Linked DNA regions of Coturnix japonica. The protein of the gene in region 3 interacts with the protein of the main gene of each other region in a pairwise test. Links are inferred from orthologs where the notes say so. Each region holds a gene or a part of one and is shown on either strand. Other genes may lie near its edges.

The links.
Region 1: the proteins of KIAA0408 (region 3) and VIM interact in binary tests that used the Homo sapiens proteins (3 or more experiments, as listed by UniProt). The link is inferred for Coturnix japonica from reciprocal best matches to the Homo sapiens genes KIAA0408 and VIM.
Region 2: the proteins of KIAA0408 (region 3) and ABI3 interact in binary tests that used the Homo sapiens proteins (3 or more experiments, as listed by UniProt). The two-hybrid records come from large-scale screens. The link is inferred for Coturnix japonica from reciprocal best matches to the Homo sapiens genes KIAA0408 and ABI3.
Region 4: the proteins of KIAA0408 (region 3) and GFAP interact in binary tests that used the Homo sapiens proteins (3 or more experiments, as listed by UniProt). The link is inferred for Coturnix japonica from reciprocal best matches to the Homo sapiens genes KIAA0408 and GFAP.

What each region holds. Positions count from the first base shown.
Region 1 is NC_029517.1:18,028,591-18,036,770, forward strand, and holds the start of VIM (vimentin), read right to left. Parts: upstream 4,859-8,180; 5' UTR 4,777-4,858; coding exon 4,232-4,776; intron 4,176-4,231; exon of another isoform or gene 4,155-4,175; intron 4,138-4,154; coding exon 4,077-4,137; intron 872-4,076; coding exon 776-871; intron 639-775; coding exon 477-638; intron 10-476; coding exon 1-9. UniProt on the Homo sapiens protein: Vimentins are class-III intermediate filaments found in various non-epithelial cells, especially mesenchymal cells. Vimentin is attached to the nucleus, endoplasmic reticulum, and mitochondria, either laterally or terminally.
Region 2 is NC_029542.1:2,998,824-3,005,758, forward strand, and holds the end of ABI3 (ABI gene family member 3), read right to left. Parts: intron 6,816-6,935; coding exon 6,648-6,815; intron 6,234-6,647; coding exon 6,057-6,233; intron 5,481-6,056; coding exon 5,398-5,480; intron 5,257-5,397; coding exon 5,161-5,256; intron 4,792-5,160; coding exon 4,607-4,791; intron 4,509-4,606; coding exon 4,380-4,508; intron 4,199-4,379; coding exon 4,038-4,198; 3' UTR 2,610-4,037; downstream 1-2,609. Other genes in the region: PHOSPHO1 (phosphoethanolamine/phosphocholine phosphatase), read left to right, coding at 1,286-2,047. UniProt on the Homo sapiens protein: May inhibit tumor metastasis. In vitro, reduces cell motility.
Region 3 is NC_029518.1:53,662,708-53,670,265, forward strand, and holds part of KIAA0408 (uncharacterized protein KIAA0408 homolog), read left to right. Parts: intron 1-34; coding exon 35-114; intron 115-252; coding exon 253-1,615; intron 1,616-3,501; coding exon 3,502-3,675; 3' UTR 3,676-7,558.
Region 4 is NC_029542.1:785,871-794,170, forward strand, and holds GFAP (glial fibrillary acidic protein), read right to left. Parts: upstream 4,701-8,300; 5' UTR 4,669-4,700; coding exon 4,238-4,668; intron 3,545-4,237; coding exon 3,484-3,544; intron 3,320-3,483; coding exon 3,224-3,319; intron 3,156-3,223; coding exon 2,994-3,155; intron 2,873-2,993; coding exon 2,747-2,872; intron 2,632-2,746; coding exon 2,411-2,631; intron 2,280-2,410; coding exon 2,236-2,279; intron 1,577-2,235; coding exon 1,491-1,576; intron 1,340-1,490; coding exon 1,298-1,339; 3' UTR 229-1,297; downstream 1-228. Other genes in the region: kinesin-like protein KIF18B, read right to left, coding at 6,255-6,352, 6,589-6,674, 6,794-6,889, 6,995-7,493, 7,855-8,048, 8,168-8,283.

The DNA.
Region 1 (8,180 bases), on a different chromosome or scaffold from region 3:
ATCTGCAAACTGTAGAAACACCCAGTTTGGTTAGCATAACTCCTCATTAAAATGGTGTAACAGGCTACTTCTAGACCCAGGATTTGGAAGCAACTGAAGCCATTACAGGGATGTTCTAGCACATGAAATATTTAAACGTGAACATTACACTGAACTTCTCTATTCCTGATTGTTATGTTTCAGATCCTTTCATGCATTTATTCATTCCTTTCCTAAGTATATACTTAAGAACTGCCTCCAGCTCCAAGAATAGGGAAGAACAGGAAACGAGCCCATTAGTTTGATGCTGCACTTAGGGCACAAGTAATTTTTCCAACTGTATTCTTCCCAGATCAATAAGTTTAAAGACTACCCTACTCTGCGGCTGTGCTAGCATTCAGTACAGAAGGAACACTGAGTGCTACAGCAAAACTGTTACCTAAAATTCATTTGAATGCCCGCTACATCTGTATAATCCTACAACACATTTTACTTACTTTGGACTTGTACCACTCTTCAGCTTCCTGAAGATTCTTAGCAGCAACACTTTCATATTGTTGACGAACATCACGCAGGGCAGCAGTAAGATCAGGCTTAGAAACATCCATATCGATTTGGATGTGCTGTTCCTGGAGTTGAGCCTGCAGTTCCCGGATTTCCTTAGAGAGAAGGAGACAGTGTTAATAAACAACACTATACAGAAAATGCATAGGTTAGGACTCGGGGCCAGAGCCAGAGAGTTTAGTTGTTCACTTGACTGACAGTGCCCAGACACAGACCTCATTATTCAGCTTACCTCATCATGAAGCTTCTTCAAGAAGACAATTTCTTCTTGCAGGGACTCAACTTTGCGCTCAAGATCAAGGCGCGCCAGAGAAGCATTGTCAACATCCTGATCAGAGAGAAGAGAACAATTAGTAATCTTATTTTTGCTCCTTCCAGCCCCAGCCTCAGAGATCACTATATGCTGCTTTATCACAACTTTGTGGACTATGCAGCATATGAAGATGTCATCTTTGCTATGTTACTGCTGACACACATCATGGTGGATGAACATTTTGTTCATCTCCTATGGACTCCTCAGTGACACACCAGAGTCCCTTGGCTCCGCAGATCACAACTTGAAGGCACTCTGTTAAATGTAGGGATGTGTGTGTAAGGACCACAGACTACCCCAAGCAGTTTGACAGATGTCCCTGGAGGAAAAGGTATGAGCATAAACACAAATGGAGTCAGTCACTGCTGCCTACACCCTCGCATTAGCTGGCAAATACTCCACCCTTTGCTGGACAGAGATAGTCTTAATCAACAGCAAAAATTCATTTAAGGCACAAGAGATGATATGCCACGAATGTTACATGGAAACAGTGTTAATTTGTTCAAAAAATAACTGAAAATTAACCATGGATCAGTAACTTCTTACATTTTAAAGACACGAGTAAAGCACTTTATAAAGGGAAGACATCCTTTCACATTGGCTGCCCAGTTTTGTTCCTATGGTATTAATATAAGCATCCTGTTTTCACAACTTGCATTACAGCCAGTCTGTATTTTGTCCAGAACATAAACATTACTCATCAGCAGCACTCACTATTACAACACCTCTGAAACAGGAAAAGTTTTCTTTAGACTATCAGGACGCCATCCTTTGGTTTACTCCTATCCCGGGATTAAGTTTTTTGCACCAGAAGAATTCTCCAGCATTCAATATGCAGCAGAAAGCCCCTTTGATGTGTTACGAAAGTTTCTTATCAACTCCAGTTGCACACCACAGTTCATCTTGGCTCTGTTTTCCAGTTCAGAAAAAAAAATGAATTCCTTAACGCATTTGTTCTCCTCCCAAACTCCAAGACCATTCTAGAAGGAAATTACACAACTATGACCTAACATGTTTACATGACTACTGAGAAATCCAAACACTTGCCAGTGGATTTTGCACAAGCCTCAATACTAAAAGGGATTATTTTTTTCCCAGATTCAAAGAGCTACAGAAGTTATAGCAACCTCTAATATGCAGAAAGCATCTTAAACTGGAGGCTTGTTCAGTACGTAATGTGCATTTCACTGTATTTCCGCTAAGTGCATTTACTCTGCACACTTTAGAGCCATGTAGATGAAAAAGGTATTAATAGCCTGAGCAAACAAGGTTTCAGTCACACATATGAGTAATTGGACTGACTACATATTGATTTTATCTGAAGAGAGTCTTTAATGGCTGAACATCCTCATTTATTTCAGGAAAGCCCTTGTTAGCCAGGAGCTGACCTGTGTGCCTTGTCATGGGCTCAGATCTGTTCCCTGCTGTCAGAGCATCTGACAAAGCTGCGGTACATAACTTCCTCATTAATTATGATGCCTCTTTTGTTGCACAAAGCAGTCACCAAATCCCTAGGCTTATTTGATGTAGAACACCCCGCAGTATACGTGGAAAGTAATGTGGCATCTCTTGTTTAGAGGAAAAAATTCAGTAACTCTCAAGCGTACTTTCTCTTCTAAATCTGCACGTTAGAACTACTCTGTTGTGGCAGGGAAAAACTGGGTATACTTTTGTTCAAACCAAACCCAGCAGCATGCACTATTTGTGCCACTGATCAACTCAGACAATGATCTGCAGTTTTTACATGTAAAGCTGAGTGGTTACATGGGCTCAGTGCATGGGCAGAGCAGCTGGAGGCTGAGTGACAGGGCAGGGAAGCAGACAATGAATGTGAGGCACGCACAGCACAGCTCACATAATAGCCCGCAGCCTTTACAAAGCTGTGTTGCTTGGAGGGAGAGGAAGACGTGCCTTGAAGTGCACCAGAGAAGCACGCATGATTGAACTAGCTTTAAGTCAAAGGAGCTTGTGCTTGAACTCTAGTAATTTGAAACAAAAAGGGGAAATGCATCTGCACTGACTTGGCAACTACTTGGATGGGCTCAGCCCTAGTAACACAGCAGCCTGGGTTAAAGGCAATACCTGGAACTGCTATTTCAAGCTTCAGCCCCCACAATGTCAGTGGACACCTCATTCCCAGCCCCTGCCATGTGTCTGCTCCCACACTGCCCCACTAAGACCACCAGGGAAATGCTAAAAACCAAATGACAGCTTCCTACATGGTGACACCTACTATTGCCTATGCAGAGCTCTAAGATGGTCAGCCTGCGCCCAGCTGTCTGGAGATACAGGGCAGCTGCTTCCAGCTCAGAGGAGTGATAGCAGTGTTTTTTCACCCCAGCAGTTTTCAGGAAGTTCTGTTGTTTTGAGAAGGCACATTCCTAAAGTTCTGCTCGTCCAACCAGCCCTCAATCCACGCCAAGAGCTGGTTTTGCACAAATCAAAACTTAAGCTCAGAACTTTCCGCAGGCTTCACAGTTGGTTCTGGCTGTCACATCGGCTTTGGTTCAGCTGTGTGACACCGCAGCTTCCTACAGACCAAACTCCGGTGCACTGTATCTTACATTAACATCTTTGCTTATAAGGGATTGAATTCTACATTCTTAATGCACATCAAGGGGATACAGACAGCTGCTGTGAGCTCATCCCGAGGAACCCATTGTCTGCTTCTGATCAGCAGACACCACTGATAGGAAATACTTCAAATCTGGGACAGTTTCCTGAGTGTGCAAAGTGATGCGGCTCATCCAGAACCGAGTTCAGTATTTTACAGAGTCTCCCCCAGGAACGTGCCCCCACCATTACACATTCGGTAGGAATGCAGCCCACGGCAGCCTCCCCTCCAACACAAAGGGATCCATTATTTCAATCTGCTGCCACCACACCGGCCATAATGCCTGGATCTGCATTCCTCGGTGAATCCCATAGAAACCATTAATACCCTTCAGCCCGGCGCGCAGATGGCTGCGCCTTTTCACAACTATTGGATCAGAAAGCGATTCCACGTCGGAGCGCTTTTGTGGAGCCGGCCAGACCGGGATAAAGTGGGACAATAGCCTCACCCTCCCCTCCGGACTGCGGCACCCCCCTAAAGAAAACAACGGGGAGACCAAGGGGCTGCGCCGAGCGCCTTTTGTGCGGGCAGAGCCAGCCCGCATCGCCAGCCCCCAGCCCCAGCCCCGACCCTCCGCCCCCAGCGCCCCGCGGCGGCCGCGCCCACCTGTCGGAAGGACTGCAGGGTGCTCTCGGCCTCCTCCCGCTGCAGCATCTCCTCCTGCAACCTGCAAGCAGCGACACACGGCCGACGTGAGGGAGGGAGGTGAGGGATGTGAGGGTGGGTGCCCGCCCCGCGCCCAGCCCCGGCCCCGCACTCACTTCTCCCGCAGGCGCATGATGTCGTCGGCCAGGTTGTCGCGCTCCACCTCGACTCGGGCCTTGTCGTTGGTCAGCTGGTCCACCTGCCGCCGCAGCTCCCGCATCTCCTCCTCGTACAGGTCGCCCAGACGGGACGTGCCTTTGCCCTTGAGCTGCTCCAGCTCGGCCAGCAGGATCTTGTTCTGCTGCTCCAGGAAACGCACCTTCTCGATGTAGCTGGCGAAGCGGTCGTTGAGCTCCTGCAGCTCCACCTTCTCGTTGGTTCGGGTCTCCCTGAACTCCGAGTTGATGGCGTCGGCCAGGGTGAAATCCACGGCGTCGTGCATCCTCATGGGCGGCATGCTGCTCCGCAGCCGCACCGACGTCGCCTTGGTGGCGTACACGCCGCCGGGCGAGGCGGACACGTAGCGGGCGCTGCTGGGCCGGAGGGCGCTGCCCAGGGAATAGCGGGTGGTGGACGTGATGTAACGGGTGCCGCTGCTGGGCCGGCTGCCCCCGCCGAACATGCGGCGGTACGAGGAGTTCTTGCTGCTGGTGAAGCTCATGGCGGCAAGGAACGGAGCGGCTTTGTAATCCGGGAGCGGAGCGGGGCTCGGAGCGCGGCGGGCGAAGAAGGGCGGTGGCCCCAACTCGGGGCCCCTCTTATGGGGCGCCGCCGCCCCGCCCCGCCCCGTCCGTCTCCAATGGCCGCGTCCGAGCGGGGAGGGGCTGGGGGGGAAGGGGTCCGTGGTTACAGCTCGGGGACAAAGGCGGCGGGACACGGGGCGGTTGCCGAGGTTCCTTGGGGCCCTACGCCCCTCCGACAGCGCAGTGATTCCGAGGGCAGGACGGGCTGCGGTGCTCCGACAGCGCTCCCAGCACGGGCCGAGCGCTTAAAAATGCGTCTGTGCAACTTTGTGCGAGCCCCGTCCCTTTCTCCGTATCTTGCTGAAAGTCTCCGGGATCGGGGGAGCGATGCTCGCTATTCACTAAGGGCTCCCAGACATCCAAAGCGGGCAGACAGAAACACGAACCGTCGATAGGTTTGGGGTTAGCTGCTTCCGACGGCACCCGCAGCCTCCCGTCCCGTGCTCAGGGCTCAGCGGCTCCCGGGGGCCCGCCCTCATTGATGCCGGCGGAGCTGCGCCCATTGCGGACGGGCGCTGCCGCACTGCCACGGCTGCAGCAGGGACACCGCTCTGCCTTCGGGCGCTGGGCTCCTGGTCACTTGGAGCGGTTTAACCAAGGGTCTGTTTGCTTTTAGTTTCTGTAGGCACACGGTCATTGTTTCAATAAAGAGCTCTTACAAAAAGCTCGTTAGAAGTGATCCCCAAAGAGCCTCAAAGGCAGGACATGCCTCATGCTTCTACTGCAACTGCACTATCGCAGTCGGGCTGCCAAGTGAGACAGGAGAACCAATAGTGTTGGCGTAAGATTGGATGGGAAAAACCGGAGCAGCAGTAAAAGAATTCCCCAAGACCATTTTAAGCGTGAGTGCGGAGTGGTGTAAGGGAGGTGGTGAGATCCCTGTCCTTTAGGGAACGTAAAGCTGGGCTGCCCAAAGCCCGAGGCACGTTCTCCTAGGGAACTATCCCACACTGATGCATCTGATTGGTGACACCATTCTCCTCCTTGCTCTAAAAGTGACTGACACAATGCAAAGCTATCTGCACTTATGGGGTGTAATGCTACCACTGGATTTAGTTTTTCTAACTTGCAGCCCTGCAGAAGCAATGTCTATGTTGGGAGTTCTGATAAACCTAAACATGAGCAGCGGGCAGGGAGTGAAGTGATGTCTGTACCCCAGCTCACAGTAGGGTTGGCTATTGCCCTTCAGGTGTTGTACCTTATGGGAAGAATCAGAGCCCTAATATTTAATTAAAGTTGTAGTGGGAGATTTTTGGTTGGCTGCTCAGTGCCTGTGTTCCTTTCTGTGCTGTAGTTTGGTTCTGATGGCGATAAGAAGTAAAGGAACACAGGCAAAAAGCTCAGAGGGAGGCAGCAAGCGGCTCCCAAGGGAAGATGCTGCACTCAGCTCACCGGGAGCTGTCACAGATTGCTGGGCTGCTAAGGTGCACTTGGCTCCATCTGCTTCTCTTAATGACCCACAGCTTGTTTATGCTCCACAAAACCCTTATGGCAACTGCCATCCTTCACTCCGACAGTGCTCTGCCCCTGAAATTCAGGGAGGTGTTTGTTCTGGTAAAGAAACAGGACCTCTTTCCCTCTTGTTTTGGATATAATTTTCATATGTTTGTGTCACTGGTGCCATATGTGCTCTTGGCCATCTGCCTCATTGCTGTTTCTCTGTGAAATTTCCCTAACAATACAAAGATAGTCAGTTATAAGGACTGCAATAAACCCCTCTGTACCTTCTGCTGGTGGGCTCTTACACAGGTGTGGAAATGAAGTTTCTTATACACCTGCAATGAATGTAGCCCATATTTGCATCTCAAGCCCAAAGGGGAATGTGAATTGGCCTCTGTGAAAGATCTCTGCAGTTCTTGTCAGGAAAGTCTGAATCTCTGCAGATTCCCATAGCTGCAGGAATCACAGAGAGCTGAGGAGGGAGGGCAGAGGGGAGCTGATGGCTGCAGCCAAGAGGATACAGATATACTGCTATGTACTGAAAATCTGCTACACTAAGAATGAAAATATCCCTGTAATAGTCTGGAAAGACTTTTAGTGAGGGTTCTGCTTTGAAGTGTGAAATGATTATTTTTTTCCCCCCTGAAAGTATATAATGACCCATAAGCCTAAGACATCCAGCCAAAACATCCTGCCATGCAAATGCAGTTCCCTTTGTTGTCGGTTTGATAAAGCAACCCAGAGTCCTTTAGGGAGCAAGGACTGGAAGGCATCGGCCTACAGAGGCTTTCCTTCACACTTCCCCCAGGTCCATGAATATTGAACGCTCTCTGTGCAAGAGGGACTTTTTCAACAGGAGAATATGAAAGAGGGTTAATGTCCTGCAGCAGCTGAATAGGGAATCTCCATAATATTCAGACACACAAGTGCTGGGGCTGCTGCTTGACTGAACGCCTTAACTTCTGTTGAAAAGAGCACTTCCTCCTTCAGTTGTCGTTTGAGAAGTCTCGGGCTTCTCTGGTTTTGAAAGCAGAAAGGCCCCAGGTTCTCGTTTCCGAATAAATAGTTATAAATTCTGTTGTAACCGTTCTGCTGGGGCAGTCCTTCCCTCTGGCTGGGTGCTGGGTGTAGCTGAGCCCAGAGGAAAGACGGTGTTCCCCGCAGCCTGGTGCAGCTCTGTACATTGTGCTGAGAGCACCTCAGGAAAAGCTGCTTCTTCTGATCCCCAAGAACCTTGAGAGAAGCTGCTGTGGGTTTGTGAACCCCCAGATTTACTAACACCTAAGTGTGTGTCCAGGCCTGTAAGCCCCCTTTTCTGAATAACTCGAATTTATGATCTCAGGAATTGAATTGAAAATTCTCTTATGAAAGTTATTTTTCAAATTGCATTGTCTATGGTAGTTGTCATTGTTACAAAATACAGCAAATGTCTATGAGTATCCACTGATTTTTACAAGGAAATGAGTACATTACATACTCAAGACTAACCACGTCTTTCTGCAGTACTGTATTTTAATGTCAGATGAACGATATGAAACCGGTGGGTCTTTCATCACTGGGGAAGTGTTCTGATTATGACTTGTGCCGCCCAGTTGCATGCTATTATTACTGTTGCACACAAAGTTCCCCTCTATTACGGTTTCTGGTTGGCAGAGCAGGGTATTTTCTGTCCCCTTTTGTATCTCTTTTACTGAAACAGGCAATCATTTCCAAAGCCAGAACACCTCTGCCCAAGTCGTGGGGTTGTCTCCAACAGTATGCAACATTCTAGCAGCACAGAGCAGAGAACTGGAAGTTTTTCAGTTCTTTCATAGGTATAACAATAAATGTAATCCTTCCCTTAAAGAAAAGAAACCAACTGGAATGCTCTGACTCACTGCAT
Region 2 (6,935 bases), on a different chromosome or scaffold from region 3:
GGGTCGGCACAATCGTGGATCCGGGGCTGTGCCTGCACTGCAGGCAACGAGTTGGCACAGCTCTATACCAAGAGCTGCCTGCGCCCTTCTTTTCCTTCCAAGATAATTGCTCCATTTAAAAGGAGCAGCCCAAACTAATTAGACTGCAAGAAAATCAGGACGATTTTTGGAACTGGAAGTTGTTTGCCGGGTTGGGTCTTTTCATGTGTGGCAAAGCCTGAGTGCTTGGGAGAGCTAAGAGGGATCAGACGCATTAAGTGGTCCCTGCCCACTCACATTGCTCCCTACGGAGTCATTTAATTCTTCAGCTCCTGGTACAAAAGGTCATGAGCTTGGAAGTTCAGTGCAGGACACAGGCACGTAGCATGCTGCACGTCTCTGCATATGGCAGCCATTAACCAGCATCACCCTTATGGTTTGCAGTGAGGAGCCCAACACAGAAAACCCTAAACAGGACCTTCAGTAAAGTGGTGCTTGGAGAGTGATGGTCTTAAAATGAAAAGGTGCTGTGAGGGTGTTGGGCTGCCATGCCTGTTTAAGGTCAGTGTGATTCTCTATGTTTTCATCTCTCTGTCTCTTCTCAGGGTCAGGGAGCAGAAGTGAGGTCCCTGTCTTGCATGTCTGATTGGTGGCAGGTGGTGAGCGGGGGCTGCTGGGTTTGGCACTGGGCTTGGGCTGAAGCTGTCCAGCTCTATGTGTTGTCAGCAATGTGGTTTTACTTTGGGGAGAAGGGCAGACCCCAGCTCTGAGCCCAACCCAAAGGGAAACCACATCCAGGTGACAGCACCAAAATTAACCTGCAAAGTCTTTTCTTTTCCAAGGAAAAGTCATTCTTGTCCTTGCAAGGATGACAGCAAGAGGGGTTTGTTTCCATGGACACAAATTCTTTTGCATGGGTGTGATATGAGTGGGATGGGGAGCAAAGTCTGTATGCCCCTTCCCCAAGACCCATGGAAACACACCAACGCTGTCCCCATGTCCCTTGGGAGGACGTGTGTCAGTCCTTGGCACACTGACCACCTTGACTGCAGTACAGGGATTAGCAGTGGCAAAGTGATCTCTTTATAAGAAGGATAAACACTCCAGGGTCAGGGCTGAGGTATGTCAGCAGGGGATTAGCCCCAAGCCCCCCCAGCTGGGTTAATGAGCTGCATGGCAAAACGTGGGCAGGGATAATTTGGCAGAGAAACGCTGCATTGCAACGCTGGCAGCCTCTTGTGTTTGTTGCCTTTGGCTCCAAAGCCAAGTGCTCAGCTCACTGTGGATGCTCTTCTCCCCCCCGCAGGGTGTTGGTATGGCCAGCTCCCGGCCTCCCAAGTACCTCCTGGTCTTTGATTTTGATGAGACCATCATCAATGAGAACAGTGATGACTCCATCGTGCGGGCAGCACCAGGGCAGGCATTGCCTGAGCACATCCGACAGAGCTTCCGTGAAGGCTTCTACAATGAGTACATGCAACGTGTCCTGGCCTACATGGGGGACCAGGGCGTCAAGATGGGGGACTTCAAGGCCGTCTATGAGAACATTCCCCTGTCTCCAGGCATGTCTGACCTCTTCCAGTTCCTCTCCAAGAACCACGAGCTCTTTGAGATCATCCTCATCTCCGACGCCAACATGTTTGGTATTGAAAGCAAACTGAGGGCGGCCGGTTTTTACTCCCTCTTCCGTAAAATCTTCAGCAACCCATCCAGCTTTGACAAGAGGGGTTACTTCACCTTGGGGCCCTACCACAGCCACAAGTGCCTTGACTGCCCAGCCAATATGTGCAAGCGCAAAATCCTAACGGAGTACCTGGCCGAGAGGGCGCAGGAAGAGGTGGAGTTCGAGAGGGTATTTTATGTTGGGGATGGTGCCAATGACTTCTGCCCTTCAGTGACTTTGACTTCAGCTGACGTTGCTTTCCCCCGGAAGGGTTACCCCATGCACCAGATGACCCAGGAGATGGAGAAGAAGCAGCCTGGAACCTTCCAAGCCACCGTTGTTCCCTGGGAGTCAGCTACTGAGGTCGCCCGCTATCTGCAGGAGCTCCTCAAGAAGAAGTGCTGAGGATGGATGGCTCCAAAGAGGCTTGTTTATGATAAGCAGCTGGGAAGGGAGAAGGCTGGGAGGTCACGTCCTGCACCCCATGTTTATTTGGCACTGCTCACTTGGACTTTGATTCCTGGACTGCTTTCCTGCCTTCTAAGCTCTCTCCCCAGTGATTGAAGCACTTTCTCTCCCCCCACATCCCTTTCTCTTCCCTCTGCCACACTGAGATGAAGTCCTCTCTATGCAGCTTAGATGGCTTCTCTGCTGTTGGTGGTTGGCAACACTAATGGTATGGGTTGTTTTTTTCCTTTATGACTTCTCAAGAGCAGTTCTTTAATATCCAGAAGCCAGTTCTCCTGCAGGCTGAGCCCTGCACGTGCTTCCTCTTGACCCAATTCACCTGCCCATCTCCACTCTCCATGCAGGAGCTGCATGCTGTTGCCTTCAACCCAATGCTCCAAGGGCTCCTTGCCTCTCCAGGAAGCCACAAGAAATTCAATCTGGGCAGTTTATGTTGCCCAGGTTCCCCAGCTCACCATGCACCCCATTCCTTGCTCAGCAGATGAGCCTCACAAAGGAGTTTATCATCCCTTCAGACTTTATTTTCTGAACAAAAACAACAACAAAAAAGTCATGAGAAATCAAGGAAACCTTTTGGAAGGTTGGTACACCTTGAAGTAATACAAAGCAACATCCTTTAGCTCCCATTGCCCTCACCCCATTTTATTTTGGGGGGGAGGCTGAATGGCCACATCCTGCTTGAGGAAGAAGACCTGATTTCACCTTCCTTTTCCTCCCCCATTGCTTCCCCTCTTGGGGCAGCAGCCCCCCAATTCATCCCCAGTGCAGACTGTTCATATCTTTGCTGGGTTGCATTGACTGCCCTGTGACTGCCTGCCCTGGTTCAGAGGTGCTGAAATTCCACCCCCCCCCCCAGCTGCAGATAGAGGTACTATAGCACTTCTGGTATCAGCTCCCCAGAGGCCAAACCCTCTCACCCCACCACAGTGTTAACTGCCCATTCTAATTGCACTCTATAGAGGGGGGCTTGCAGTATTTTGCTCTCTGGTGTTGGCTCTTCCTGGATTTATCCACAGCCTTAAATGACCCCTGAGAGTGGCTTGTAACTACTCCAAAGCATAGGAACCCTGGTAACAAATCAGAGCAGTAAGGAAATAACCAAAGTAGCCCTGAGATGATCCTCCTTTATTTCATTTTTTTCCTTCGTTCTTCCTCTTCTGGACACTGTTTAACTGTGTGGAACTTAAAGCCATGGAATTAAATATATATATATACATATATATGTATATAGATATATATATATTACAGATACACAAGTTATTTGTATCCAGAACATAAACCTGAAAGTGAGATGGCTCTGAAGTGCACACACGTGGTGTTTCTTTTCCTCAGGCTGCAGGAGGAGGAAGGCAGCCTTGGGAGCTGACCAGGGGAGCAGCAGAGTGGGATTGGGTTATGAGCAGTGCTCTGCAGGTTGGGCCTGACCTACAGGAGCCCCTTTGGTACAGGACTTAGACCTGGCTCACCCTCCTCTCAAGCAGCTGGGAGCAGTTCCTTGCCCCAGAGCTGCTCTCCTCTTCGTGCTTATGATTTCTGAGCTTTGGTCCTACTCTGCTGTCAATCCTAGGGGTCTAAGAGCAGCACCAGGGCCAGCCCAAGGGATTTCAGAGCTTGCTTCCCACCCCCCCATTTCCAACAGCTTGAGGGCCAGGGAGTTGCCTCAGTGCTAAACCTTCACAGCATCATCATCATCATCATCAATTGCTGGTGTCATTAAAAAAAATGACAAAGGGTGGGATGAGGTGCAGGGAGCAGGCAGGGGGATGTGTGGGGTGCAGGCAGCAGCATGTGGCATGGGGTCATGTCATGGCTGCAGCAAAAAGGGGCTGAGCTGTGCAAAGCCAGAAGTCAAAGGCAAAGTGGAGCCCTCACCTCCTGGACACAGCTGAGCTGGGTGGGCGATGAGGGGTCGGGGAGCTGCTGGTGCTCAGAAGGGCTCTACATAATTGCCAGGGAAGAAACCTGCTTCCTCGCCCATGATGCCTTCACACCATCCATCAGAGTACCTCCGTGTGACATAGATGAGGGCACCAGGCTCGAAGGAGAGCTCATTGTCCTTCTGTCGTGTGTACGGGTAGATGGTCAGCACTGTGCAAAGAAGGGGAGAGACGCCATGGAGAAGAGTGGGGACAGCTGAGATGGGCAGGAGGGAAGGGCTGAGCCTCTGCACTGCCCTGTAGTGGGGCAGTCACATCCTCAGTGCTGTGACCACATCCAGGGCCAAAGAATCTGGTGGATCTCAGCAGATCTGACCCTGGAGCTGCTGTACCTTTATCCAAGTAGCTCTCAGGGACACATGAGGGTTCCTCTGCAGCTGGTGGTGGTGGTGGTGGGGTGAAATCCTCAAAGTTGGGCAGTGGTGGTGGTGGTGGCAGCGGTGACTCTGGGTCATTGGAGACTGTAGAACAAATTCAGTGAGAGTCAAGCGGCTCCATACAGAGCAGAGCACAGCATTTGTGTTTGAAATGAGCACCCCCCAGACACCGCAGCACTCACCTGGAAGGCTGAAGTCTGGTGGGGGCACATCCAGGTCCCCTGGTGGTGGTGGTGGTGGGAGCAGATCCCCAGGGAGAGGTGGAGGGGGTGGGATGGTGGCTGCAGCTGGGGTGGGTGGTGGTCCCGGGAGGGGTGGGAGTGGGGGTGGTGCTGGGATGCCTTCCCCAGGGGCTCCTCCACTTGAGCTGGGGATTCAGAGTCAGGTAAAAGGGGTGTATGTGTGTGTGGGGAGGCATGTCTCAGCCCTCCCATCTTTGAACATGGGTGTCTGCTCTATGCTAGAACAGGGTGACACCCAGTGCTGTCACCACGGGCAGGCACCCCAGCATCTGTGTGCAAAGCCATTTCCCCATCCTGTGCCTTAGTTTCCCCCTTGGGAACCATCTCTGTTATTTTGCTCTAGATACACACAGTGAATTTCCTGCTCTCCAATACAATATTGCTTATCAAAACCTCTCTGCAAATAGATGCAGTGGGGTAACCACAGCTGCCCTATTCCCACTGATCCCCCTCTCCCTGGTTATTCCAGACACCCCCCTGGCCCAGGCTGGTACCTGATTGATGTCAGTGAGGAAGCAGATGAAGCTGCAGAGAGCTTTCCCTCGGGAACCACGGGGGGCTGGATGGGCTCAGGGACACGAGTGCTCCTCCTGCCAACAGAGCAGGCACTGAGCCCATGCTGACAGGACACAGAGGGCAGCTGCATTGGGCAGTGCACCCCATGGCTCTGTCCCTGCTCAGTGACACCCAAGCTAAAGATTCCCTACTCTACACCATCCCAGAAGCCTCACCCCATGGTGCCTGCAGACTGTGTGGTTATCTTCATCCCTTTCCGAGACAGTGTGCCTGTCCTGGACAGCTGAGTGCTGTGATCCTGCAGGCAGAAGAAAACACATACACATGACAAGTTCATTGCACTCCATGCCTACCATGCCCTTATAGTGCCCCAAAGGCCTTTGCTGAACCCTTCTCAAAAGGATGGGGGGTGGTGAGGGGCTGCCCCAGCTAATAGAAGTAGATATTGGTGCTGATAGAAGCAGATATTGGTGCTGCTGTCTGGCATTGCCACCGTGGGAACTGCAGCCCCAGCACTGTCACTTCCCCTTCGACTCCACAGCGGTTTCACACTGTGCACGTGGCTCTGATGCTGCTGAAAACCCACAGACGCCTTCCGGTGAGGGGGCAGCTTACAGGGGCAGTTTCAGTGCTGGAACAGCACTGTGGGTGTAATGCAACTCAGCCTTAGCCAAGCAACTCTGGGACTGTGTGCCTTTATGGCATTGTCAGTGTCCCATTCCCCTCCTGCACCAAGATGAGCCCCACTGGGACAAGTCCTGGAGGAAGCATAGACAGACCCCCTTTCTCCATCCAGGAGGGGTTTGTACCCCCACCAGATCACATAAAGCCCATCTAAACCCCCATCTACCCACGGGACACCCTCCAGGCTGACCTTTATGCCGTGACCGATGTCATCCAGGATGCTGAAGTTGAGGGGTTTCCTGTAGTAGGGCTCTAGGGAGGGTGGGTTGGGGGGGGATGTGATCTTCTGGTGGGATGGGAACCTCTTACTGACGGTCAAAGCGCCGATCTCCCGACGAGATACTTTCTCCTTGTGCATGTCAACGCTCTGTGGAGGCAGCAGGAAAGGCTCTAAGGAGCCCTCAAATATCAGGAAGAAAGTGAGTGGCTGCAGGGCTCTGAGTCATTGTCCCTAGTTCTCCAAGGGGACGAGGCCAGTGTCCACCGAGGGGAGATAACAGCATCTGAGCCTATGTGACTGCTGCAGGGTAGCTCCTTGGGGGCTTCCCCAGAGGCTGCCATGGTCCCCAAACACCCAGACTAAGACAAGCCCTTAAGAACAGTTTCCCACCCCTCGGTAGTCTTGTCCTTTAGCTTCTTGGGTGACCAAGGTGCTGCAGGGGCTGACAGGCCATTAAAACCACAAGAAAAGTTGGTCTCCAGTCCCTGTAAGCTGCTCCTTTCTCAGGGCTGAAACCCCACAGCAGTACAGACCCATGGCAGTGGCTGAGGTCAGACCCACCTGGGCTACACAGCTGACATTGGCCTCCAGCTTTTGCAGCTCGGCTGCCTGCAGGTCCAGCAGCTGCAGGAAGGTGGTGGCCAGGCTGCTGACCTGATAAGCCACACTGGCCAAGGACTGTGTGCTGAAAGCCATCGTCTCCTCCAGAGCCTTCCTCTTGTCGCTTGCCTGGAGGGTGAAACACAGCTGTGATGAGCTGGGATGGCTGAGAGCACAAAGTGCCGCCGCCGTCATACCCAAACCAGGGTCACAAGGGAGCAAAGGGGCTTCCTTCTGCTTTCCAAATGC
Region 3 (7,558 bases):
TTATTTTAAAAAAACTATTCTTATATTTTCAAAGGCTCTTAAAGAACTTGCCAGAGTTAGTGAAGAATTATGCAGCTATCAAGAGGAAATTCGGAAGAAGTCCAACCACAGAAGGTAAAGGCATATTTGGATTTTTTATCTTAGAGGAAGAAACCAGGTTAAAGTCTGTGTTCCTGTTTACTTTGAAGGGAGGTTTGCCTCCTTTTTTGCCCTTTTTGCTCACCGCTGAAATCTCTTTCTCTTTGTGTCCAGAATGAAATCAGTTCCTTTCTTGGGGAAGTTTGAAGAAACCCAAAACACAGTTATTCTGCCTGAGATGAACAATCTGTCCAACAATGAATCGCAGTCTTCAGTTGCACTTGAAAAAGAAGAGCATAATAATAGGAAGAATCTGATGAGCTCCACCAAGGTTTTGAAGGATATGTCTTACAGTAGTCTTACTGGCAACGGAGGAGAAGTTTTCAGACCTTGTCAACAGAAAGAAGCTCCACCAGTTCCTCCACGAAGTACTTCTCGGCACTTAACAAGCTCGCTTTCCACAGTTGTGCAGCTTCCTGAAGCACCAATGAGAGATCCAGGCATCAAAAGCAATTGCAAGTTTCAGGACTCTAGGAGTGGAAGGAAACTGACAAATCCTTCATCTGTAAAACAAAATGAAACTAAAATGGCCTGTGCAAATGAGAAGCAGACTGGGAAAGGTCCTGTAATAGTAACTGCTGCAATACCTGTAACCAAAAATGAGTGCGTTGCACCAAGTTTCTGCCACAACACATGGGCATATGATGTTGGAAAAGACAGTAAAAATGAGCCTTCCCCACTGTCAGCCCAGAAGAGTTGTTCAGATGGAAATATGGCCCATAGTAACAGAATGCACCAGAAACAAAGTTCCAAGTCTCACTTCAGTCCTTATTACTGCAATGACTTTTATGCCGCTGCTGCCCTGCACATTGATCTTTTGGGAGACTCCAGTTGTGCTTTGGGAAAGGCTCAGAGAAATGAAACTTTAGCAGCGAAGATTGATGAGTTTAACCGGACTGTATTTCACACAGATAAACGTAACACTACTTTGCAAGAAAACCAGGTGACTCGGACAGCATTAGAAGATCACAAACCCTGCAGCCCACCGTGTGACTCTGCTATTAGCAGGACAGAAACTGTAGATTCATCTTGTGTTTCAAATCCCAAACTTTCTGCAGCAAAAGAACAAGAAACTAGCAACCCTAGCAAAGTTGTCAGAACAGGAGGGCAACAAAAGCAAATAAATGGACTTCCAAATACCAGTGGTTACAGGCACATGCTTCATGAGCATGACTGGAGACCGAGTAATCTATCCGGTCGCCCGCGTTCGGCTGACTCAAGATCAAACTATGGTGTTGTTGAAAAGCTTTTGAAAAACTATGAAAAATCTGCAGTGATTTCTCCATGTAATGCAAAATACTGCAAAGATAAGTGGACACGGGCAAACTCTGAATCCACTGATGGAGGTTGTGAGACACGGAATCAGTATTTAGAAATGCTTCCGTCTGAGCAAGGAAAGCAAGAATTTCTGAGGAATTCAGGCAGGCATATTGGGCAGCAACTGAAGCAAGGAAGGGAGAGACAGAAGTTACCAGAGGTAAGGTTCAGAAGAATGGCAAGAACAAAATAATTCAGTTTTATACTTGGCTTCAGATTTTAAAGTGAGGCAGACAATCATGATAATATAAAAAAAAAAAAACATAAAAATTGATAACTTAGGCCAGGATCTAGGTGAATTAGAATGATTTCCTTTAAAGATAACAGAGTTGTGAGAGGGCAGAAATCTGTAAGTAGGCATGACTAGCAAAGTTATGTGCCAGAGTGTAGCCTTTGCTCCTGCTACATAAAACTAGATGTTAACGGTAGTTTGGGGTTTGAACTAGTGAAAATTACAATCAGATATTCCCTCCCTTATTCCTTTAGCTGGATACTTGTTTCATAAGCCTTCTCAAATGACTTAAGACCACTCTGCCGTATCAAAATCCTCAAGGGCTGAGGCAGCATTCTTCAGAGTCCTGGTTGCTTCTTGGTTCAGGATTTCCTTGGTACTACCCATGAAAATGGGTTCTGTATTTTTCTTAGAGCTTCCAGGAATGACGTGACATCCATTTACTCACATCTCCAGGCTTGTCCTATCAGTTCAAGCATAGGCTCACAAGCGTAGAAGAGTATGGCATAACTAATTAATTTATATTTGGCTGAACTGTATTTGCAAAAGTTTAGAAGTACTGCCTCTGCCAACATTCTTTCTTAATGAAAATAGAAACAGATGTTTGTTTGTTTTTTAAGTATACTGTAAGCTACAGATTTTGTAAAAGGCCTCAGAGAAGGAAAAATCTGTTTTCCTGAAGAGCTCCTTGCCCTAAGGACACAAATGAGTGTGTCCTTCACTGTCTCAGAAATGAGAAGGCAAGTGTTTAGAGCTGAGGAACTTAGATGGATTCAGATTGTCATCTGGTGTGCCTTACACTGTCACACATTCACAGACTTCAGTGGAGGTATGTGGATTTAAACAGCTGAGAATCTGAGCATGTAGATTTTCTTCTGCATGATTTTATGTCAGCCTTGCAGTGATGCAACCTCTTGCTTAGCAGAAACATCTTCGTTACAGCACAGAGGAAAACACATGAAGCCTTTGATTTCTTTCTCATCCAGTGTAAGTTTGATAAGAAAATGGAATTTCATCAATAAATATGTAAGGAGGAAATAATGAGGAGAGAATGACTGAATTTGCATTGATGCAAGCCCAGAATAACTTTACTAAGACAGCTGGATTATTTTCTCCATAGATTCACATTCTGTGTTGTTATTTATGTTGTATAAATTAAGTGCAGAATACTGCCTGGTTAGGGGGTTTCATTCAGCAGCTTTCATGTCACAAAGATGTGAAAAACTACACCTGGCATGAAACATGGAGGTTTATCTTCATTATTTCAGATTTATAGTACTGTAGCTAAGATCAAGGTCTGTTGTTTTTCCTGTACATATAAGGCTCAGCATGCAGGCACGGCACCGCATTAATAAATAATCATTCTGAATTATTTACCAACTGTAAACAGCTTTGTGCTGTGCTAACAGAAAGAGAGCTCTTAGCAAAATGTGTCTTCTGAAATGGAAGCTATCAAAAATTACCTAGAAAGTACATAGATCATACTCTAAGGTGCTGAGAGCTCATTCACAAGACTTCCAAAAATGAAGGGAAATGAAAAATGAGTGTTCAGTTTTAACTTGCATTAACATTTTGTCCCTTTCCTTGTGTCTGACACTTGTCTCTGCATATTTTAAACTGCAACTGAAGTGAGAATCCCTATACATAGAAATGCCTGTTCTTTTGCATTCTGCACATTACTTTGTTCCTTTTAATAGCATCAGACCACCTGCTCTGTGGCCACCCTGAATGTCTTCCTAGATTCCCAGTGCATTCTCTGAAGGACTTTTCTCCTGTAACTCATTAAATCAAGGATGATTGCTTTTGTGTTCTAGATATCTGTGCCAGCTAAATGTTCAAATGGGAAGGGTTTCTCACGGCCAGCCCGACCAGCAAATAGACGCCTGCCTTCCAGATGGGCATCCAGATCACCATCAGCACCTCCAGCTGTGAGAAGGACAGCATACAACTGCTCTGTTTCCTTTCGGTCAGAGACCTCAGTAGTTTGAACCCAGAAACGGGTCGGATGGTGTTGTGAAAGCTCTGCACCTCATTTTAACTCTGTTCAGTATGTGTGGTAGCAACCAGATCTACACCGTCCTATCTTGTTCAAGAACGACTCCATCACATGCTGGACGAAATGGTTTGAATCTTAGGTCATCATCATGGTCTTCAGTGTTTTTATTGAGAGGAAACAATGATACCCCTGGTTTTCTCCTTTTCTTTCTTTCTTTTGTTTTTTGGTACTAGCTCACAGAGAATTTATTTTGAGTGGCATCTGTCTTAATTTGCCAATCAATTTTGAGTTGAAACAATGTATAGTGCTGTATATTCTGACTCTTCTGCAAACAGCAGAACATAAAGCTGTATGCATGATCATGTGTTTGTAGGTGCATGTGTTGGACTAGGAAGTATACAGGTCTGTATTTAGAAGAGACAAACTGTGCTAGCGTTGACATTGAAATTACAACAATATGCCAACATATATATATATATTTACTTTGTGTTTATTTTAAAAATTTTGAAATATACAGTCCTGATGACATTTATATTTTGTATATCTTTTACATAGGTTCACAGGTGTAGTATTTAATGTACAAAATCTAAATATGCATTTTTGTGACTCTAATTGCAGCGATTATGCCTTGCACAATATGTATCTGAAGCAGACTAGCTCGACTGATTTGTCAGTCATGCTTCATGGCATCCTTGTTCAGTTTCCTAATCCTTATAATACTAGGTCAAAATACCTAAACATATTTTTTCTGAATTAAAATATTATATGATTTGTAGTACATTAGCCTTTTTCAACACCAGAAACATTCCTGAAATGTTCTGATCTCTTTAAAAGTCTTTAAGCGTGCCATTATATATATAGCATACTGTAAACAGTTCAGCACTTCCAACCAGTGTAACATACAATTTATGAAGGGAAAAAAAGGGTTGAATGTGCTCAATTCTGTAAAACTTATTTTTCCTTCTAGCATTATATTTTGAGGTTTGGCAAAGTCAGAGAACAATGGACTTGTTTACTTTCACTCAAGGCAGGAGAACAAGGACTGTTGATCCCAGTGCTACAGACGCATGCCTTTTTTACTCTCCTCCTAGACTAGAGTGCCTGAGCCGCTTGCTAGCAGCATGCTGCTCCTTGACTGACTTCTGACAGTCAGTAATGAAGTTTACTTGCATTCTAGCAACACCTGCATCTAGTATGGAAGTACTGTATAGAGATCTCATCACAGTAGTGCCAGAAATCCTCGACAAGTGGTATCGGAAGTGTTATTGCCATCGCCTGACTCAGTATTTTGGGCCATCACAATGATGTATACAGAGCCTGGCTTGTTCCTCCCCACAGTGTGAAAGAAGTACGGATACTGACCAGACTCTTGCTGAAAAGATGAAGTCCTACATCCTGGAATTTTCTGCACCCTCTCCTAGGCTGTTGCTGGATGCGCAGGGTAGTAATGATGATAAATGGTACCTTTAAACAGCATGTCTAGGTTAAAAGGAGTAAAGAGGCCCTTCTTCAACATTAGCCTAATCTTGTCTTGCAAGTTTTTTTCTTCTTCTGGAGAAACAGTGTGTTCAAAGGAGTTTCAAAAATCATCCCAAGCTCCATTAACATGTGCGTCTTCATATGTGAATGTAAAAAGGAATTCAGAGAGAGTGTAGGCTTTTGTCCTAGTGAATTGTATGTTTGGCAATATATGGAAAATTAGTTGTGCTTAATTTGTTAGTGATATGTTGTCTTATCCCAGTCATGCTGAGAACCCTCACCTTTTTTCTTCTTTTTAGGGCCTATTCTTCTTTACGCAACTACTTTTTTGCAGAGTAAAAACGCAGCCAGCCATATGTTCCGAGCAATGTACCCACTATTGTAGGATCAATAACTCTTCAGGCATGCCAGTGTTGGATTGAGCAGGCAGTAGTGTCATACATCCAAAATTACATGAAGAATCATGGCTGCCTGCATGGCAAAAACATGCTCAGACTAATTTGGCCCGTCTTAACTTTCTGGCACTTTATGTGTGTTAGTATATATATATGAAGACTTCAAACAGATCAACAATTAATGAAAAACAGTTCAGATTTTATTACAAAGTTATTACTAGAAAAGACAGAAGACATTGAAGAAAATTCATACAATTTGGACAGAGATAAAAAAAAACAATGTTTGAGTGAAAAATGAAGAGTAATATCAATTTGTCTCTTTGCCCTAATTTAGAAATTTCACTCCATTAAAGTCCTTAGAACTAGAAAGATTACAGATGATTTACAGTGAATTTGAAACATTATTTAAGATTCTTCTAACTATGAAAACTAGCATACCAAAATACCTTAAATTGACCATTTAAATGCCTAAGTAGTCAGGCAACTTTAAATGTGTGTAGCTGACAAAATGGTGATATGAGAGAATGGTAAAATTATGGTCCTTAATTTCAGTCAATACTGACTGCAGTCAAGCTTATTTCAATTACCTTCATGGTAATGTTATGCATCTTTGTTTTGAAAAATGGTGGTACAGTTTTGTTTCAAGAACATAACAGTACAGAACAGTTTCCCTCAGTTAGTCAATGGATGTGTTTCTTTTGCACACTTAACTTTCTTTGATCGCTTTTAACATAATCACATTGTTGAATAACAGAGAAAGGATCAAATACCTACAACATTCCCTTATGTATGTAAGTTTAATGAACGGAAGATTTTTGAAATAAACTAATAGGTCAAGGACAACTTCATTTTGTCAACTTTTTCTGTGTCCACCTAATTACAGACATAGGTTCTGATGCCTGAAAGTATCAAAACTGGTGGTTTTTGTCTGTAGGTGGTTTGCTGGATATACTGATTTTAGAAACTTGCCACTGTGGCTGTTTAAATATTCTCTTCAGCCATACCCATGACAGGGCCTACGTACTGTGGCAAGTTTTTATTTTGCTCCCAGAGCAGTGATTACTAAACCATAGCACTGTCTTTATTGCATGTGTTTGCTGTAGGAAGAAGGTCCCCCATATGATCTCTTAGAAACTCTCAGGCAAGGGAGGATCTATGTCTTCACACAGGCACACTCAAAAAAGAACTATTGATGTAAGCATTGACCTTCCTTTAATACTGGTGTCACCTATGGAAGCTGATAGTTTTCCAAGTTATTTTTTAAAATAATATTTTGTTATTTTTCCATATGCCATTTGTATGCCATCTACCTGGGTAAGTGGCGGAGTCACTGGCCCTGGAGGTGTTCAAGAGATATGTGAATGTGGCACTGAAATACATGGTTAGTGGGCATGGTGGTGATTGGCTGATGATTGGACTAGATGACCTTTTCTAACTTTAATAACACTTATGATTTTATGGTAAAGTCTTAATGCAGATAGAGGTTGTTCTTACCTGTGCTCTGAACGAGTATAGACTCTTGCTACAGCATGGTTGTGGATGTTAATGCTGAATGCAGCAAGAAATTTTCAAAGTGTAAAAACCTTAAATGGAGTAATAGAAAGGATGGTTGAATCAACAACCTCACACACAAAAAGTCAGCTGCCCACTGACATATTTACAAGCTGTCAGAGCTAGGGGATATCACTAGGAATTAGCTGGCTGGTGCTTAGCTGATGGAAGGGATTGTTCTCCACTATACTTGGAGATGGAGCCATTATCTTTCTTTAAACTCTTAGGGAGGAACATGGAGGGGCAGAGACACTGACTTAGTTGGACCATGCCTACAAATACAGAACAGCAGTATTTTGAGCACCCCCAGTGCTCACAAACTGGGTTGGCTCATGGCTTCTGATAGAGACAGAAAGAGTAGAGGGAAAAAAAAATGTGCTTTTAAGTTTCTGTACATCATTCCTAAATGTTTCATCTTTACAGTGTTAGTGATAGACTTTTATGTACCTT
Region 4 (8,300 bases), on a different chromosome or scaffold from region 3:
TTCTGCACCACAACGTGGTGGGCTGGAGCTCAAGGAGCATTGGGACACCACTCTGAGACATAGGGTTTGGGTACAGGTTTGGGTGGAGCTGTGCAGAGCCAGGAGCTGGGCTCTGATCCACGTCCCCCTTCCAGCTGGGGGTATGCTCTGATCAGCTCTGCCCCGGCTGATCCCAAAAACACACCGCCCTGCAGCTTGTCCTGCAGGTTACAGTCACAACCACAGACATAGCACTTGTGTTAGGCTTTATTTCGCATCTCGTGTTGTTGCAACATTAGGGCATTAATCCAGTAGCAATAAGGGCTGCAAAGCTCCATCCAGCTCATGGGGGACAAAGTGACCCGCAGCACTATCACTCTATAACACATCCTGCCCTGGGAACAGTCCCTGTGGAATTAGGAGCTGCAAAGCTCTGTGCTGAGCTAGAGGATGTGGAGATAAGCAGGGTGAGGAGGCAGTACCCATGTAGCAACCTATGGGCTCACGTTATAGGGCAAGGGGATTGCTGGTGAGTGGGTGCTGCTGCATTAGGTGGCAGCAGGGCACGTTTAGCTCATGGTCAGTGGCTAAAACAAAGTGAGTATTGGGTCTGCAGGGGCCCCAGGTGGGTGACATGCACTGGGAGAGAGCACAGGAGACAGGGCCACGTGGAGCTGAGGGACAAGATTTCTTCCAGCCCCTCGAGAATGCCTGTGCAGAGCTGGGCTCGGGCCATGAGCCCCCTGACTGTCTCTGCATCTCTGGAGATAGGAGCACCGTGGTGGGGGACACACCATTAGGGTCAGAACAGTCCCATGGCACCGTGCCCTGGAAAAGCCAACAAAGACTCCCACCCTGCTGTGCCCATTGCTGCTCCAGCCCCACAACCACTCTGTACCCCCAGGCACCCTGCTCAGACCCCACACCATCACCCTTCTCCCCATCCCAACATCGACCTGCCTCCCCATATGCTCCATCCTCCTCTTCCTCCTGCCTTGGCTAAGCCCAACTGCTGCTTGGCAACAGGAAAACATCCCTGACCATGCGGTGCTGTGTTCCCCCCAGCCCTCCCAGGGATGCTCAGGACATGGTTGGGATGCTCAAGGTGGTCTCCTGCACCAGCAAGGTGGGAAGTGTGGAGCAATGCCCCCAGATCTCAGCCCTGGCCAGACCAGCACAGGAGTCCCTGGGGCATGGGGTGGTGGGAGAGGTGAGGGTGGGTTTCTCCTGTGGCTGTGGCCCCACCACAGGGCTCCATCGCAGCATCGGGTGGGATCTATGGAGCTACAGCTACAAGCGTGGCTATGAATCACACACTCTACACCACCTCCTTGTGCTCCTGCTTGGACTCCTTGATCACCTGGAAGCAGAAGGAGAGGGACTGTCACCCCATCAAGTCCATCTAAACATGTCTGGGGACAGAGCCCGTGCACATGACAAACATCCCCCCTTGGGGACACCTTGAGGATGGAGGGGAAAGGGTGTGGAAGGCGCAGTTGAAGACTTCCCACCTCTCCATCTCTTGTCTCCACTGTTTTGACCACAATGCTTCTCTTCAAATGAGCTTCTGACACAGATTTGGTGTCCAGGCTTGTTTCTAGGAGACATGGATGGGACAGGTTGGTGACCCAGTGCCCCATATATGACCCCTCCACCCCATACACCTTGAAGGGTCCCAAAAGGAACTAGTTGGGCTGGAAAATCCTGATCTGTGGGAGTGAACGCTATAGGCCTCAGGAGGAATGCTGGCACTGGGTTGTGGTTGGGGACCTTGTGGCTGGAGACTGGGTTGTGACCTTAGGTATGAAGGTGGCACTGAGGATGTGTCTGGCTTCAGAATGTGGCTGGTCTTGGGGACACAGTTGGCACTGGGGATATGATTGGCTTCATCAGTGGTGTTGGCCTTGGTGACATGGGTTGCTTTGAGATGTGGTTGGCCTTAGGGACAGCATCGTGCTTGGGGGAATGGTGGGCACTGAGCTGTGGTCAACACTGAGTATGAGGGCAGTACTGGGGACACAGCTGGTGATGGGCGCACAGTTGGCACTCAGAACACAATTACCCTCATTGTTGAGGTTGGCCTTAGAGACATCATTGGCCTCAGCAACAGGGTTGACCCTTGGGGAATGGTCGGCACTGGGGACGTGGCCATGGCATCGTGCTCATCCCCTCTATATCTTGGGACTGTGGGGGACCCTTCAGGCACAGAGACCTGGCAGCCCCCCCTGCCCCCATCCCACACAGCCGCAGCCTCACCTCGGATCTGCAGGTTGGAGAAGCTCTGCACAGGGACGGTGATCCTGCGGGAGCAATGGGAACGTTGGGGAGAGCACTGGGTCCCCATGTGTGAGCAGGAGGGCTGCAGGGTGCTCACCAGACCCAGCAGCACCAAAAAGGCCCCGAGATAGTTCAGGACAGGGGGGTCCATCACCTGCTCTCCTCGCCCTCCAGCAGCTTCCTGTAGGTCGCAATCTCAATGTCCAGGGCCAGCTTGACGTTCATCAGCTCCTGGTACTCCCGCAGCTGCCGGGCCATCTCCTCCTTCAGGCCGCGGATGTCCTCCTCCAGCCGCCCCACTGTGTCCTGGTAGGCGGACGTCTCCAGCGCGTAGCGCTCCTCCAGCTCCCGCAGCTGCCGCTCCAGGGACTCGTTCTGGTGACCATTGTGGGATGTGATGCCCTCGATGCCACCTCCCTCCATGGGCACCCACCCATGGTGGCACGACCCAAGGATGCGTCCCACCTCATGCCCCATGGGTGGCACCTACCGAGCCCCGCAGAGCCTCCAGGTCACAGGTGAGGGCCTGGAGCTGCCGCCGGTACTCGTTGGCCTCATGCTTGGCCGCACGCAGGGCCTCTGCATGGCGGGCAGCTGCATCCGTCAGGTCTGCAAACTGGAAGGGACGCACCGTAGGGTCAGCTCTCCAGTGCCACTGCCCCATAGAGCCACCCAGCCACAGGAGCAGCCAGCCCAACCCATGGGGGTGATATATGGGGACAAGGTGCCACCCGCACCTTGGATTTGTACCACTCCTCGGCCTCCTGCAGGTTAGTGACGGTGATGGACTCGTACTGAGTGCGGATGTCACGCAGCGCTGCCGTCAGGTCTGGCTTGCTGGCGTCCACCTCCACGTGCACCCGGTGCTGGGCCAGCTGCTCCTGCAGCTCCCGCAGCTCCTGCAGGGAAGCGGGGTCAGCACAGCCATGGGATCCACCCCCAGAGCCCCACATCACAGCAGCGTTACCTCCTCGTGCACCTTCTGCAGGAAGGCCACCTCGTCCTGCAGGGTCCCCACGCGACGCTCCAGGTCGAGGCGAGCCAGGGCAGCAGCATCAACATCCTGCCACCAGGTGACATGGAGGGATCGTACCCAGGGTGGGCATGGGGGTCTGTGCCCCCATCCCTGCCCATCCCTCCATCCCATCCCATCCCATTCCAGCCCTGTCCACAGAGCCCAGGAGAGGAGGACTGGCCCCCACTCCCCATCCCATCCCCTACCCTCACCTGCCGGTATGCAGCCAGGGTGCTCTCAGCCTCCAGCCGCAGGGTGACCTCCTGCTGCAGCCTTCAACAGAGCAGTGACGCATTACTTATTAGGTGCCATTACTCGTTAGGCACAGTGCCTCATTACTCATGGTGGCCACGTGCAGCTCAGCCCCATAGACAGACCCCCCTAGTGCAACCCCACTGCACTTATACCATCCCAGTAGCCATTTCTTAGTTCTGCTGGCTGCTTTGGTCCCCATCACTACCCTAGTTATTATCCTGGTCCTGATGACCTTGTTAGTGCTGCTGGGCTCCCCAATACTTGTTCCAGTAGACAACTTTGTCCCTGGGATCACTATTGTCATGGTGGGCACACCGGTCCTCATCACCATCCTGGTCCTCATCCTGGTTGTGGTGGCCACTCTGATCCCCAGTACCACCTAAATCCCCATTAACACCTTGGTCCCCATTCTCAACCTTGATCCAGTCCCTGTCATCCACCATGATCCTTGTGGCCACCCTGCTCCCTGTTTCCACTCCGGCCCTGCTGCTCATCCCATCACCCATCACCACGCAGGTCCCCATCCTGGTCCCATTGGCCACCCCAGTCCCCATCGTTATCCCCCCTGGTTACAGTGTCTGCCTTAATCCCCACCACCTCCTCAATCCTCATCACCGCTCTGTTCCCCACCACCAAACTGGTCCCCATCCTTGTCCTGTTGGCCACCTCAATCCCCACCCCCCAATCCCCCATTGCAGGACCCCCCCATACTTGTCCCGCAGGCTCCCCAGCTCCTCAGCCAGGCCGTCCCTCTGCACCTCGGCGCGGGCCTTGGCGGTGCCCAGCAGCTCCACGCGGCGCCGCAGCTCCCGCAGCTCCTCCTGGTACACGTCAGCCAGACGGGTCGGCTCCTGCTCCCGCACCCGGTTCAGCTCCAGCACCAGCACCTTATTGCGCTGCTCCAGCAGCCGGACCTTCTCAATGTAGCTGGCGAAGCGGTCGTTCAGCTCCATCATCTCCACCTTCTCGTTGGTTCGGGTCTCCCTGAACTCCGAGTTGAGGAGGTTGGCCATAGAGAAATCCATCCTGCTCGATGTGTGGGGTGTGGGGTGAGCGCTGCGGGGACGGGGCCGCGCTGTGGGGCTCCATGATGAGACAGTGGGGCTGGAGCGGCGGCCGTAGGATGACCAGCGGCTCTCCATGGTGAAGGTGGGTGCGATGTGAGCCGTGGTGGGGTTTTATGGCCATGGCATTGGCTGGAGGCCACGCAGCACAAAGCTGGGCTTTGTGGCACCCAGCGGGGGGGAGGGGGGGGCTGAGGGCTGGCAGCCAGCCCTGTGTGCTAAATAGTGCTGGCAGTGCCCAGAGAGCAGGGGGTAAAAGCTGGGGCAGAGCGGGGACACAGTGCCCATGGGGCAGCGTGGGTGTGTGGGGCACTGTAGGTCCTGGGTGCGATGCCATGGGGCACTATGGGGTGAACCTGGCAGAGCAGGAAGGCTGCTAATTAAGGCCAGCTTTAATTAGCTGAAACGTCCTGAGCCCATTCCAGCCCAGTGGTGCCAGAGCTGTCTCAAAGGTCTCAGTGTGCCCAGCACAGCAATGAGATCCCTTTGTGCAGCGCCGGGAAATGGGCACGGGGTGAGGGTGGGGGCAACGGGCACAGGGACATTGCTGGGCTCAATGGGGTACGGGCATGGGGACAGCCCGGGGATGGACCAGGATCAGCTCAGTGGCTGTGGGTGGGGGACAGAGCCCATAGGTGACAGCTAGATGGCAGCCAACAGCTGAGAAAACCCAACTAGCATGGGAACAAGGGCCGGGCCCCAGCCCAGAGCAATGGGGAGGAACACTGGGAGCCCCTTAACACCCCCCCCTCCGCATTCACAGCCCTGCATCAGGCATCGTCCTTCAGCACCCCCAGCCCCAGGTTTGGTTCTAGAGCTGCAAAACCACAACCCCTATGTGCTGAGAGCCCAAGTGGGGCAGGGACAGCTCTGCTGCTGCACTGGGAGCCCTTTGGGACCCCCCTCCCTTCCCCAAATCCACGTGGAGGGATGGGGCAGAGGGTGCCCCCACTGTGGTCTCCCAGGATTTATTTTCTCCCCGCTCCCACGCAATGGGATCAAAGCAGAGATGCTGTCACTGCGGGGACACAGAGCCAGCCCCCCCCCCCGCCTTAATGAGGCAAACGAATGTAGAAGCTTTAATTAGAAGCTTCCAGCCTGAGAGAAGACAGAGGGGAGAGCAAAGTAGGGCAGAGAGCAGTGACCCCAGCCCCTATGGGGAGCGCTGCATGGGACAACGGGGCCAGAACATACCAGGGGCTGTGGGGCAAAGGCAGCCATGCAGCTTTTGGGGCCTCGGTGCAAAGTCATCACCTCTGCTGGTGGCCCCAAGGACCCCACAGTAGAGGGAGAAATGCTCTGAAGCCCCAAAGGGACAATAGAAAACCACCCCTGGGAGCCCAGCACCGCTCTGAGGCTGAGGGGGGAGAAGCAGCCCCACATCTTCCCTCACTCCTTTGGGTTTAAGCTGTAAGATTTATTAAAAGCGCGTGGTATTGCTTAGCATTGCCCATCTGTCAGCACTCGACACCCCGAGAGGGGCTGAGAGGGAACAGCAGTGATCCATCTGCTACAAAATACATGGGGCTGTGCAGAGGGAGGAGGGCAGGAGGGAGCAGGGAAACCAGCCAGGGAACAGCAGGGCAGTGTTTGGGGTGGTCGCCCTTCTACCTCCCTGGCAGCTGCATGTGGGGCCACGTGAGGGGTCCTGGATGTGAGGGACATCAGCACAGCAGCTTCATTGCTTGTGAGGTGGGGGCTCTGGGGGCACCATCTCTGGGGCCGCTCCGACCCTTCCAGGTGAGCCCAGGAGGGGGATGCTCTGAAACAGGAGAGAAAGGGAGGAAGGGGATGAAAAGGCAAAACCTACAAACCCACTGCCAGCCCCAGCCTTACAGCCATGCCCAGACCCCCAACACCCCTTCCCAAGGATGTGGCCATAGGAAGGAAGCAGCAAACCCAACAAGCACATCCCAACAGCCCCAGACACACCAACACCGGGTATTTAGCCCCTGGTGTAACTGCATCAGGGATGGGTGGAACTCCTGTAGGACTCACCTGGGATACTCTGGGGCTGCACAGACCGCCAGCTGCTGCTCGAGCTGATGCAGCTCTGGACCCCACCCAGTGAATGGGAAGCAGTGCTGTGAAGGAAAAGGGGACATGTGGGGATGGTCATATAAACCCCAGGCTGCCAGCAGGCAAAAAGGGGGTCCCAGCCCCACAGGGAAGCATCCACAGCAGCAAATGGCTGCCATCTCACCTCACTGCTCCCCTCCGCTTCCGCACAGACCCTTTGGAGATGGAGGACGGCTTCGGGATGGAGGAACCCTTCATGGAGAACACCGGGATGGAGGTTCTGCAGGGAGGAAGAAGGGTCAGAGGGTAAAGCACTGAACCCAAAGGGGAAAGGAGGAGCAGGTTCTTAAGGATGCTGTTTGTGTCCGAGTGGTACAGCACCAACCTGGGCACAAAGGGGCCCTCCTGCTTCTTTAGGGCACATGGGGCGCTCTCCCAGCTGGGCAGGCTGAGGGCTCCCGGCTTGGAGACGTCCTCAGAGAGGCTGTAGGTCACATTGAGGTCGCACACAGTCGGGGTGCAGCAGTTCTGGGCTGCTGATGTCCTGAGGGGCGCACGCCCTTTGGTGACGGTCAGAGGGCAGATTTTGGGGGTGCAGCTCGGCAGCAGCTGTGTGGATTGGGGCTGTTTAACACACGGGGTGTGTGGGCTCCACGGCGCCTCCGCTTCATCCCCGTTGCTCAGTGGGGAGGATTTCCGCTGGCGCTTCGCCCGCGTGTTGAGGCTGCGTGGTGTTTCCAGGCTGGAAGTGCTGCTCATCTCAGATCTCCTCCTCTTCTTCACCGCCACTTTAGGGCTGGGGAGTGAAGTGAGCTGCTGCAGGCGGCGCAGGGCAGCTCTCGTCATGGGGATGGTGGACTCAGTGCTGAGCACTGAGGGTGATGCTAAAGGAGAAGCAACACGCACAGTCAGCACCGTCTGCAGTGTTCACATACATCCCCAGCCCTCAGCATCACCCCAAACGCTGCCATTTCCCAGCAGGTATCACCAAACCACGCTCACATCCAACCCAGAGGGACGGAGCTACTGCAAATCCCATCCTAAAAGCACTAGAGCGGTTCCAAGGGAAATGTGCAATGGCAAAGCTCAGCCTGTCCTTGGAAAAGAGTCTGCAGAGCCCTCAGCCTCACTGCTGGGCTCATGTTGTGGCACTGGGGGTGAGGAGGGAAAGCTACAGACTGAGCAAGGACAGCAACCATTACATGAGACCAGAAAAGACAGGGATCAGAGCTGCTGGTTGCTCACCATCACAGCCCGGCTGTGTCCTCAGGGCTGGAGTGGCCCCACTGGTGTCTGTGGGCTGAGGGCTCACAGCTGCCTCCTGCTGCACCAAGAGCTGCAGCTCCTCGAATTCAGTGACCATGGCAGGAGTGAGGAGGTTGGCAGCCTTCAGCAGGGAGTACTGCTTCTGGGCAACGCTCAGAACGGCAGCTATGAGCCTGTGACAGAGGGGGAACAGCATCAGATAAATGAGTCTGGGCAGAGGCAGCCCCTCAGCTTCCAAAGTCAGTCAGTTTGGCCACCTGAACCAGGAGGGGCACACAGAGGAAGGACTCACCTGTCTGTGTGGCTGCGGGATAAATGCTGTGGAAGGAGGTTCGGTTTCTTCATTCCCAGCTGAAGATCTGCCTGCTGGGAGGGGCTGGAGCTGCTGGGGGGCATTGCCTCCAGAACCTGGAACAATATCCCAA